3 linked regions of the Oryctolagus cuniculus genome follow. The protein of the gene in region 2 purifies or fractionates together with the protein of the main gene of each other region. This does not show direct contact. Links are inferred from orthologs where the notes say so. Each region holds a gene or a part of one and is shown on either strand. Other genes may lie near its edges. The genes, in order: FAM174A, SLC39A11 and GALNT16.

Evidence for each region.
Region 1: the proteins of SLC39A11 (region 2) and FAM174A purify together in Homo sapiens (co-immunoprecipitation; 3 studies listed by BioGRID and IntAct, counting the BioPlex papers as one, with this or other methods). This does not show direct contact. The link is inferred for Oryctolagus cuniculus from reciprocal best matches to the Homo sapiens genes SLC39A11 and FAM174A.
Region 3: the proteins of SLC39A11 (region 2) and GALNT16 purify together in Homo sapiens (co-immunoprecipitation; 3 studies listed by BioGRID and IntAct, counting the BioPlex papers as one, with this or other methods). This does not show direct contact. The link is inferred for Oryctolagus cuniculus from reciprocal best matches to the Homo sapiens genes SLC39A11 and GALNT16.

Annotation. Positions count from the first base shown.
Region 1 is NC_091445.1:23,031,898-23,036,328, reverse strand, and holds the start of FAM174A (membrane protein FAM174A), read right to left. Parts: upstream 2,839-4,431; 5' UTR 2,660-2,838; coding exon 2,247-2,659; intron 1,942-2,246; exon of another isoform or gene 1,356-1,941; intron 1-1,355.
Region 2 is NC_091448.1:7,100,782-7,104,425, reverse strand, and holds part of SLC39A11 (zinc transporter ZIP11), read right to left. Parts: intron 3,453-3,644; coding exon 3,282-3,452; intron 1-3,281. UniProt on the Homo sapiens protein: Zinc importer that regulates cytosolic zinc concentrations either via zinc influx from the extracellular compartment or efflux from intracellular organelles such as Golgi apparatus. May transport copper ions as well.
Region 3 is NC_091451.1:15,216,657-15,220,300, reverse strand, and holds part of GALNT16 (polypeptide N-acetylgalactosaminyltransferase 16), read right to left. Parts: intron 3,365-3,644; coding exon 3,238-3,364; intron 1,746-3,237; coding exon 1,653-1,745; intron 1-1,652. UniProt on the Homo sapiens protein: Catalyzes the initial reaction in O-linked oligosaccharide biosynthesis, the transfer of an N-acetyl-D-galactosamine residue to a serine or threonine residue on the protein receptor.

The sequences.
Region 1 (4,431 bases), on a different chromosome or scaffold from region 2:
ATCACCCAGGCATTGTTAGCATCAATCAAGCTTTGGAAGTTCGGTAGCCAACTAAATTTAGGACTTGGATGGCATGGATGTGTGAGATACTGGTTAAAGAATAGCTTTTACTAGCCATAGTTCAGAATTTGGTTGTTCTCATATGCCATATTACAGAGTCACCCAATAGAATCTGATTAAAAAGATTACGTCCTTCCAAGTTTCACAACAGTGAATAACAAAATCAACAACAAACATTTGTATATAATATTATAAACAAGGCAGAGGCAGGGGATGCATTGTGGTGCAGCAGGTTAGGCTGCCACTTGATACACTAGCATCCCATCTCTGAGTGGTGATTTGAGTCCCTGCTGCTCAACTTCTGATCTAGCTCCTTTCTAATGTACTTGGGATAGCAGGGGAAGATGGCCCATGTATTTGGGTTCTTACCACCCACATGGAAGATCTGGATAGAGTACCCGGCTCCTGGTTTTGGTCTGGGCCAATCTTGGCTGTTGCCAGAATTTGGGCAGTGAATCAACAGACAGAAGATCTCTCTCTCTCTCTTTCTCTGCCTCTCCCTGTCACTCTTCCTTTCAAATAAATAAATAAATATTTAAAAAGAGTTAGAAACAAAAACAATTGAGGGGCATAGTCTCCCCAAATTATCGTCTTACTCATATGTGTAACAAATATAACACTCAGTTGCTCTATGCCTATAACAGCTCCAAAACATTTTTTTCCAATTTCCCCATTAAAAGTGAGTGGGCCTACATTTGTTGGTCTTTATGAACCAATAGTATCTTGCTCAAGTAATACTGTTCACGACAGCAGTTCTAGCATTTTGAATTCCTTTACATTCTCGAAAATTATTCAGGATGTCTAAGGAACTTTTATTTGTGTGAATTTTATATATATTCAACATGTTATTTATATGAGAGAAAACACCTAAATGCTTGTTGATCTAAAATAATATTGAATACAGGGTAATATAATATGAAAATGGCATAAATCTGTTCAATATCTACTTAAACTGACAGAAATACAATAGGAACAGAAAAAAAAGTAATTTCCACATTTACTTCTGTATTAAATAATTTGCAATGTGTTTGGTTGAAAGATGTGAAGAAAGCCCAGCTCCATACAGATAGGAACTTGGAGAAAGGGAAAAGCATGTTAATGGCCTTTTCAGATACTCGACATTATTCTTGTATACTACACCAAAACTGAACAAGAAGTCTCTTAACTGGCAATGTGACTCTAAACAGGTATCAATGACCTTTTTATATCTTATAAAGTCGTAAGAGAACGATTTATTTTGAAAACAACTTGACACTCTTGATGTCATAAACGCCTCTGGAACCCAGCACCCAGGGGTTCCCTGGATGGACCACGTGCCAGAGACCACTAGTTTACACTGCACTTCTTCATCAGCAGTTTAAAAATCAAATGCTGTCCCTTTCCCATTCCTAAGAATGACTTGCTTAACTGGAAGCACTGTTTAAATAATTGATTTTAACTACATGTTTAAAAAAGGCATCAGAGACTAGGTAGGTAATTATGGGGCGAAAGGTGAATCGCTTTGGAAAACAACAAACCATTGCAATCCTTACAACGTGCCCTCTGCGCTTACAGCAGCTGGTCCTCAGCTCCCCTCTTGAGCGGCTCTGGTTCACAGGGAGGCCTTGGTTGTGTGTGCCAAGGCTTCCACGGAGCCCAGCTGCATAGCTAACCACCCAATCACTTCAAGGGCAGGTTAACGGCCAACACTAAGAAACAGCGATGGTAAGGGAGGACTGCTCTTCTAAGTTTTATACAAATAACATAGCCAGGAGGCCTTTCTGCATGATTATCCCAAAGAGAAACTTTGTACTGAGTGGCCACACCGTGCAAAGACGTCTTGAACCAACCACGAAACAGTAACCCTGCCTTTGAGGAGTCTGTAGGCAAAATTTCGGCCAGGTAGGTACCCAGGGACACGAACAGGGTGGGGGGGGGGGGTGCAGCATCACCAGGGCGAGTGGCCGAAACGCAAGGGACCCACTTCCACCGCAGGCACTGGCGCGGGCCTCGGGCAAGAGGATGAGATGTGGGGCGCGGAGAAGCTGCGGCTACTACTTGGAGAATCAAACTTCCCCCAAGGAAATGCGCGTCCACCTCACATTCTCGGCCGCAGCCCCGAGTGCAGGGGGCAGGAAGACAGCAACGCTGGTCTCGGGACTCTGCCTTAGGGCAGCCCGGGGGAACCCACCGAGGCTTCGCCTCACCTGACCGTCCTGACTACGAAGTACACCAGCACCGCGCCGCTCACCACCATCAACACGGTCAGGGCTCGCTGGGTCATGGGCTTGTCGCCAGGGTTGGGGCTCACGGCGAGGCCGCCTCCCACGGAGCCTTCCCCGGCCTTCCCCGCGACCTCGTCGGCCACAAGCCCCGCCCCGGGGCTGCTGCCATTGCCGCCTTCGGGGCCCCGCGGCCCGGCGACCTCAGGCCGAGCTGGGGTGGGGCCCGGCGGCGGCGTGCGTGGCTGCGGCTCCGGAGGCCTGGGGCCCGGCGCGGCCTCGGCGGCCTGCAGCAGCACCGCCAGGGGCCCGCTCAGCGCGGGCAGCAGCAGCAGCAGGACCAGGACAGGGGCCAGGAGGCGCCCGAGACCGCAGCAGCAGCAGTGCGGGGCCTTCATCGTCCCTGGACCGCCCTCTCACCACGCGGGAGCCGCCGGGCCCGCCGCCCGGGCTGCAGGAGGCACCATGGGCGCGAAGGAGACCGAGGCAGGCCGGGCCTTGACAGGTGGCACAGGCGGCGGCGCCGGCAGCTGCTGGGAGAACCGGAAGTTCGTGCATCTCAGAGGCCGCTGCTGCTAGAGACGCTGTCGGTTGCTATCCTGTCAGGGCGGGGCGCGCTCAGTGACGTCAGAGGCGCGGGGCCGACTGCGCACGCGTCCTGGTGGAAGCAGGAAGGTTCAGACTTTGAGGTTGGTTTTGGTGCTTTGACTGTCGGGCTGAATAGGAAAAGGAGTGGTTTAAGGTGGGTAACAAAGAAAGCGGACAGACAGGATTGTGTGGCGTTTGCAGCAGCTCTGCATGCGGAAGCTGAGAAATAGGAAGCTTATTATTTGAATTCTTTGGTGCAGATCTGCAGAAACAGATTAAGTAAGCAAGATGCTTAAGAAGTTCCGCACAGTCAGCTTAGTTGCAAACTTTCAACAGGCCTTGTTTCTGCCTCCAGGCCCTGGCCCACTTTCCTCAGAGCACTTCCTGTCGAAAATTTAAGTTTCTTATCACAGCCAAGAACCTGAGGCTCCTCTCTCTGCAATGTATTCCAGCAGGCAGACAGTGTCCCTATCTCCTAGTGTCTGGGTGTGTTTAGGGGACGGGGAGATGGGAATCTACTTTCTCCCAGGTGCTGGCTTCAGGTTGTAAAAATCCTCTTGAAATCGGAAAAGGTCCCCTAAAATTTACCCTGAAATGTGGCCCCTTAAAGTTCCCTAGAAATGCTATCCGGGGTGCCACATGCGCTACTGGAATTTGGGGTGCCTTACAATTTCACTACGGGCTTATTACTAAATCCCCGCTATTAATAAGCCCGAGAGGGTTCTTGCCTAATATTTAGAGAAGAATTCTAAATACCGGCACAGATAAACGAGGCAGCATGGTACGTTTTAAGCTTTTATTTAGTAAGAAAGGTGCATAAGAGAGTGAGAGCTTTATTTAGGGGAGAGAGGTGAATAGGGGTTCATACCAAGCACCAGGAACCAGCCATGTGGATGAGCGTCTAGGCCAGGAAGCCTAGAGCACATGGCCCAAAGGCCTTGCACCCTGGAGGGGCAGGGCTACAGCAAGCCCTGTCCTGGCAAGAGGCCAGGGAAGAAGAGCTGGGGCAGAGCACACTGTGCCCTAGCCTTTTAACCCACTCCAAAGGGGAGTGCTTAATTAACCTGATTGGCTGGTGGGCACCCCTGTGTGGCCAGGTAGGGGGATAAGGCCACACAGGGGCGTGGTCTTCCAGTTCACAAATCTGACCAATTTTAACCTGTATGCCTGCCTACTTCACTCTCCTGTGAAGAAAATAGGAGAAGCTTTACTTTTCCTTTGGGTAGAGTCACTTAGCGAGCACAGGTGGCGTATGATCCTGCCATCTCAGCTCCTAAAAGCTCTCCAGGTCTTCGTTTACAACGAGTTGCCCCACTGAGTTCTGGCCCCTCTCCCCTATTGCAGTGGTCTGGAATAAAGCCTTCTCTGAGGTTTAATGCTGGCATCCACAGTAACCCCGACTTGAGCAGGTACTGACAAACAAACATCTGGGTAGGGACAGAGTTAATGTTTGTTGTTGTTGTTGTTGTTGTTGTTTGACAGGCAGAGTGGACAGTGAGAGAGAGAGACAGAGAGAAAGGTTTTCCTTTGCCGTTGGTTCACCCTCCAATGGCCGCCGTGGCCCGCACTGTGGCTGGCGCAC
Region 2 (3,644 bases):
CTTCATCCTGGCCCAGCCCTGGCCACTGTGGCTATTTGGGGAGTGAATCAGCAAATGGAAGGAAGAAATCAATCGATTTATCTCTCTTTCTCTCTTTAACTCTGCCTTTCAGATAAATAAAACCTAAAAAGAAGAAGAAGAATAAATAGAGCAGGTAGGGGCCAGGCTTGCTCTTACAACAGTCCACTCCTGTGGGAACCAACCCAGTACTGCAATAACTACATTAATCCCTTCTATGACCTAATCAGCTTCCTCCCTAATCACTGGTCCATCTCTAAAGGGTTCACAACTCTTGGTGTCATTACACTGGAGCCAAGATCCCAGCACACAGACGTTTAGGGATGCACTCAGAGCACACAGGGCCACAGCAGCTCCTGTCAACGTGAGCCAGGACGCGACCCCAGCAAGCGAGCACACAGGGCCAGGGCGGCGCAGCAGCAGGTGTCCAGTGCGGGAGAGCGGGGCACTTGTAGTCCAGCGCTGTGAGTTCTGGATCTTCGCATGTTTTTCTGTTCTTCTGGGAAACAGCAAACCATCATGGTACCACTCAGACTAGGGTCACTGGACTCAGTTCTAAACCCACTGGATCGATCAAGTAGGGCTCCTGGTGGCCGGAAGACAGCCCCACTGTGACAGAGGACACACAGGTACCTCTCTTCCCTGCCGATGAGCACTCCTCAGGGTGAAACCGACTTCTACAGTCTCTTTAAGAGACTGGGGGTGAGACAACCAGGCCCTCTGGGCAGGATCGATCCACTGTGGTCATCTTTGTGCGCTGGGGTCCCAAGTGGACATCATCTCAAGACACACGGAAGGAGAAGTCCTAGACAGCCAACCTAAAAAGTTTTCTCATAACCCAAAGGGGAAGGGACCAGAGGAAAACGAGGGACGGATGCTGATGACACCGCGGGGAGAGCCCGCCCGTGTATGATCACAGAGACGCCCGAGGCAGGAGAGACGGAGCAGAGGAACACGCCTCTCAGCTAGACAAACAGCCGAGCCTAAAAGGCGACTGGACATACTGCACCTCAGGCAGAGTCAAAATAGACTAGACGACATGACATCTATTAGAGTGTTCATTATTGCATTTGAAAGGCAGAGAGAGAGAGAGAGAGAGAGAGAGAGAGAGAGGTGGTCCATCGACTAGTTCATTTCCCAAACACCCGCAGTAGCCAGAGCTGGGCCAGGCTGAGGCCAGGAGCCAGGAACTCCATCCAGGTCTCCCCTATGAGTGCCAGGGGCCCAAGCACTTGAGCCATCACCTGCTGCCCCCCCCCCCCGATGGTGTGCGTTAGCAGGAAGCTGGGTCAGAAGCAGTTTTGCTAGCACTGGGAGCAGGCGCTCAGATGGTGATAGGGGTGTCCCACGCGGTGACTGAGCCATCATACCACATCAGCCCCAGCACTTTCACTCTTTAAAGATGACAGATGTCTTCATCGTGTAAGCAAAAGGAGATCAAGTCACACGGAGGAACACGCTCAGTCTGGCCCCGCCCCCTGCTCCCCCCACAGCACTAACACCGGAAGCTGTGCAGTGACTTCCGTGTGAGCCGTGCAGGGGAAGCGTCTCGGCTCTGGAATCAGGTATCAGCCCGGCTCTGTGGGCTCTGTAAGGACCCGGAAAATACATCACTTGGGGACGCACCTGGGGACTGCTCAAACTTGAGTCCTGAAGAACCAAAACCAGATCAGAATGTTTAAGACTGAAGCTTGCGGAAGTCGAGGCTGGAAAGGCAAGCGGGAGAATCACCAACATGAACGACGACTCCTGTTTCTCAAGGCCCCAGCGGTGTCCTGAGAGCTCTACCCGTGATTTAGCACCTAAGACTCAAAATGAGCCAGGCACCGTGTTATTCTGTTCCCATTCCACAGATGAGCAAACCAAGGCTTCTGAAGCTGAAAGTTTGTCCAGATAAGCTCATCGGGGGTGGGCGTTGTAGGGCAGCATGTAGTGGCGCCGTGGGATACCTGCATCCCACATCAGGACGCTGGTTCAAGTCCCAGCTGCTCTGTGCTTCTATCCCAGCTCTCTGCTAATGCGCCTGGGAAGCAGTGGATGATGGCCCAAGTACTTAGGCCTCTGCCACCCTTCTGGGAGACCCAGATGGAGTTCCTGGCTCCTGACTTTGGCTTGGCCCAGCTCAGGCTGTTGGAAAGTGAACCAGTGGATGGAAGAGTTCTCTGTCTCTTCCACTCTATCAGTCTACCTGTCAAGTATTTATTTATTTATTTTAAAGGCAGGGAGAGAGAAAGAAAGATATCTTCCATCTACTGGTGCACTTCCCAAATGGTCACCAATGGCTGGAGCTGGGCCAGACCGAAGCCAGGAGCTTCTTCCAGGTCTCCTACGTGGGCAGCAGGGGCCCAAGGACTTGTACCATCTTTCACTGCTCTCCCAGGTGCGTTAGCAGGGAGGCAGATTGGAAGTGGAGTGGCCGGGGCTTGAACTGGCACCCAAACAGGTCACCGGTACTGCAGGCAGCAGCTTAACTTTCTATGCTACAGAGCCAGCTCCTACCTTTCAAACAAAAATAAATAAATCTCTTCGAAAAAATAAAAATAAACTCATAGGTAGGAGGTAGAACAGGAATTCTGAAACATACCCTCAGGAGTAGCTTTCCTTAGTTTATTTTTGTGATACTGTTATTTATATTCTCCTATTTATATATTTATTTGTTTATATTTATTATTTTTAGAAAATTATTTTTACGCTTACCCATGTCTTCTGATTGCACTAAAACAAATCCATTTCCTTTACATTATTTTCAAAATAAAGCACCGCCATGTCTTTTTTATTCCAATTAAAATGAATCCAAAGACATAGAACAAACCACTCCAAAACGCTAACCAGGAGAGGGTTGGTGAGACATTTCTGAAGGACTCTCGCACACACAAAGCAGGTTAGGCGGACCCCAGCATCGAGCTAGACGGAATTCACTAGGTTCAAAAAGCACAGAACAGACCCAGACACATCCTGTGCTCACGACAGGCCCCCTCCAGAGCAATCAAACAGTAACAAGTTCACACTCCAACGAACCTGGTGTCCATATGGGAAGAAGTAGGTAGAAAGAGGGACGGTTGCTCCAAGCCGTGGGAATGGGAGCTTCATTGTAAAATGATCACGCTACAATGAGGCGCCCCCACAGTGAGCCAACAGAGACCTGTGTCCCACCCGCATCCCCTCCATAAAGGACTGTGTCACCACCGCCCACGCGTCTCTTCCTGCCAAGTGAGCGGCTCCCCCTCCAGGCCCGGGCGCGCAGGCTCGGGGCCAGACCTCACCTGGGACGTTGTGGATGGTGATGGCCAGGATGAGCAGCGCGATCCTCCTCCAGCTGCTGCCGCCCGGCTGTGCCAGGTTCCCTCGGGAAGACGCCGGGGAAGCAGGGCCCCCTCCAAGGCCAGCAGCCGCCACCTTCTTCCGCTGGTATGCCTCGCCGTTCTCACTCTTATCTGAGCAAAGAGAGAGGAACGGGTGAAGAGACTGCTTTAAAAGTGTGTGTGTTGGGGGCCAGCGTTGTGGCACAGTAGGTCAAGCTACTGCCTGTAATGCCAGCAACTCGTATAAGCACTGGTTCGAGTCCCGGCTGCTCCACTTCCGATCCAGCTCCCAGCTAATGCACCTGGGAAAGCAGCGGAACATGG
Region 3 (3,644 bases), on a different chromosome or scaffold from region 2:
TTTCCTCTGGGGAACAAAGGCCAGGAGCCACCGCAGCCTCCGCCGTCCTGCCCTGGCCTCCTGCCCGAGTCATCCTCTGGGCTCTTGCCCCAAGCCCACCTTTCAGGACAAGCCCAGCTCTCGGGGGACCAGGCTTTAGCCGGCTTCCTGCCCCCTCCTCCCCCGAGACCTCGGCGCACCCTAAGCTGGTGCTGAGCTTTGCAGAGAGCAGAGCCGATTCCAACAGGTGTTTCCCTCTCCTGAACTCCACACTCCGAGCGAGGCCGGAGCAAGAAGAGCCACATTTACATCTCCTCTGGGAGCGTGGCCACGACCGTGCCAGCTGATGTGTCCGTGGGACACCAGCCCCGCGCTCACCTTCCATGCCTACACCTGCCACAGCAGCCCCTGGCCGATGCCCCTGTGGCCACCCAGCCCAGCCTCCGTGTCTTCCATAGCAGTCCACCCACCCCAGAAGACTTCTAAGAATCGGACGAATCTAAGAGGACGTGAAGGACTGAGCACATGTTAGCTCCCAGTGAACTGTTTCGTGGCATATTTTCTTATAGAGACGGTGACAAATCTGCATGAGGGAAACCAGAATTTAAGTAGGAGATGAAAGTGAGGGGGCTTCAAAAAGTGCATGGAAAAAAACGGAATTAAAAGATAAGCTTCCAGAACCAGCGCTGTGGTGTAGCAGGTAAAGCTGCTGCCTGCGATGCCAGCATCCCATATGGGTGCTGGTACAAGTCCTGGCTGCTCCACTTCCAATCCAGCTCTCTGCTATGGCCTGGGAAAGCAGTAGAAGATGACCCAAGTGCTTGGGCCCCTGTACCCATGTAGGAGACCTGGAAGAAGCTCCTGGCTCCTGGCTTAGGATCAGCACAGCTCCAGCCATTGCAGCCATTTAGGGAGTGAACCAGTGGATGTAAGACCTCTCTCTCTTTCTCTCTGCCTCTGCCTCTCTGTAACTCTGCCTTTTAGATACAGAAAGAAATCTTTTTGTTAAAAAAAAAAAAAGGTAAGCTTATTTGGGTACAAAGCAAATTTCAAAACCCACACATGGCTTTTCCATAACGCACATTTTCCATGAACTTTTTGAAGACTGTTCCTATATCCTCCACTGTGATCCGGTATGCACCATGTAGGTAGGACACACACACACACACACAACTGAAATCACAGTTTCATCATACAATGTTTACCTCTCACTGCAATCAACGCTAATTTTCCATTCTGTTCAGTGCTAATCTAACCCATAGTGTTCTCTCTCTCTCTCAATGCTGGTCACGACCCACACTAAATGGATTTCACAACCCATCTGCCTCTGAAAAATGCTTAGCGAGACTGTAGTCGTCACAGCCGGCAGGAAAATAGGCAAGCAGATCACAGCAGTGAACAGGAGTAGAGAGAAAAGCCCAGACTTCTTCTACAGACAGCCCCTCCCAAGGTCCTGCTACAGATGTCCCTGTGCTGCCGGCAGCTGTGCAGGGCAGCTCAGTCACAATCGACCCTCCCCCCGGGAGGCTGCGGGCACCTCTGGACAGGGCCTTGTCTCTGCGTGGCCTCCCAGCCCAGGGAGAGCTCTCTCCCTAGGGAAACTGTGAAGGTAGTTTGCTATGGCTGTGCCAACGTGGACGGAGGGAAACTGAGGGCGTGGGGTGGGGTCCCACCTGCCGAAGGCCTTCCCGATGGCGGAGGGCCGGGCCTCGTAGTAATACTGCTTGTACTCGTCCATCCACACCTCTGCGGTGCGCTTGGTGTTCCTAGAAGAACAGAAGAGCAAAACAAGGTCGCCAGAGAGACAGCAGGGTGGGGTCAGGGTCAAGATGAACGCTGCCATCCTTTTGGTCAGTTAAAAGTTTGCAGTTTGTGGGGCTGGTGCTGTGGCATAGGGGGTAAGGCTGCCACCTGCAGTGCCGGCACCCCATATGGGCACCAATTCGAGTTCCAGCTGCTCCACTTCCGATCCAGCTCTCTGCTCTGGCCTGGGAAAGCAGTAGAAGATGGTCCAAGCGCTTGGGCCCCTGCACCCGCGTGGGAGACCAGGAAAAAGCTCCTGGCTCCTGGCTTCGGATCGCTGCAACTCCAGCCATTGCGGCCAACTGGGGAGCGAACCAGCGGATGGAAGACCTCTTTATCTCTCTGCCTCTCCTTATCTCTCTGTGTAACTCTGACTTTCAAGTAAATAAATAAATCTTAAAAAAAATAAGTATGCAGTTGCAGTTTGTGAAAAAATGAGGCCATGTAGCCAAGGGCAAGAAGGCTCTCAGGAGCGTGTGCAAACGCATGCCGATTGGGGTGATATAAATTAGCGTAGTCTCCAGGGAGCGAGGAACATCTGTCAGTGTCCACCACAGACTCGGACACTCTCTAAGGAATCCATTCTACAGACGCGCAAAACCTCCCCGGCATAGCAAGGCCACGCACACGAACATGGAGAACAAAGCACCTCCATGTGATGGAGTGTGAGGCCGCTTTGGGAAAGGGTGCAAGCTTGCAAGCTCAGCCTGGGTGCGTCACATGGACAGACGCCTCTGCTCCACTCCGTGCAGCGTGGCCAAAACACAGGCGTCAGGAACAACCACAGCATGGCCCCCTTTCCATAAACACCAGCATGGACCGGTGGCTGTGTGTGTCTGTCTCTGTGCATGGAAGCCACAGTTATGGACGTGCAGAGCGGCTACCTTTCAACAGTAGCCACTCCTGTAGAGCCAAGAGGGCTGCGCAGGAGGAAGACGGGTCATGAGTGGCTTTCCAGGCCAACAGCAGGTGCACCCTGTGGCTGGGGACTTGGCTGCAGAGACAATGGATCGAGTCAGGCATCCGTGACCAGCAAGCGGGCCTCAGTGAGTGGCGAGCAGCACAAGTCAGTGAGTGAAAAGTGCAGCAGACAGAAAGTAAGCAGGGTAGGGGCCAGAAGAGAGGCGGATTGTAATGCGGCAGATGGACGAAGTTTTCATAGAGAAGAGCATATCGGAGCTGAGACCTGGACCAGCCAGGGAGGGAGTCGCTTGGTTATCAGGATCTTGGTCCAAGGGAGCCAAGGCAAGGGATACCTGGTGGAAACTTCCTGGAGGTCCTGCAATCCCAGAATGTCAGATCTGGGAGGGGGGGACTGGGGAAACCGAGGCCCGATACACGAGATGGGTGTGCATGTGTGTGACTGCCCAAAGTCACGGCTGAGCAACTGGGAGGGCCAGCGTCCAGGGCCAAGGCGTCCCAATCCGAGCCCAGGGCACGTCCGCTGCGACTCACCTGATGTAGGTCAGGGCGTTGCCCTCGGGGAAGTTGTAGGGGTGCCGCTTCCTGAAGACGTGGCCCACGCGGCTGCACGGGACGATCTCCAAGCTCCCGCCGCACATCCACACCCTGAAGGAGAGCTCTGCGGGAGACGGCAGGGGTCAGCGGGCGAGGGGCTGCAGGCCGAGGTCCGCTGAGTGACGGTGGGGAGGGGCTGGGCCTCCTCTCCGTGGTGTCTCGTGGCGGGGAAGGCTGGGGTGTCAGTTCCCGGGCCCGATGAAGCTTGGTGCCCGTGTTGCGGACAGTTCACGCCCCCCTGGCCTGGCGCATGCGCGCACGTGCCTGCACGCCACGGAGACACGCGCACTCCATGTTGCAGTTTGCATAAGATTTGGCCCTAGGAAGTCATGCAGGAATGTAGT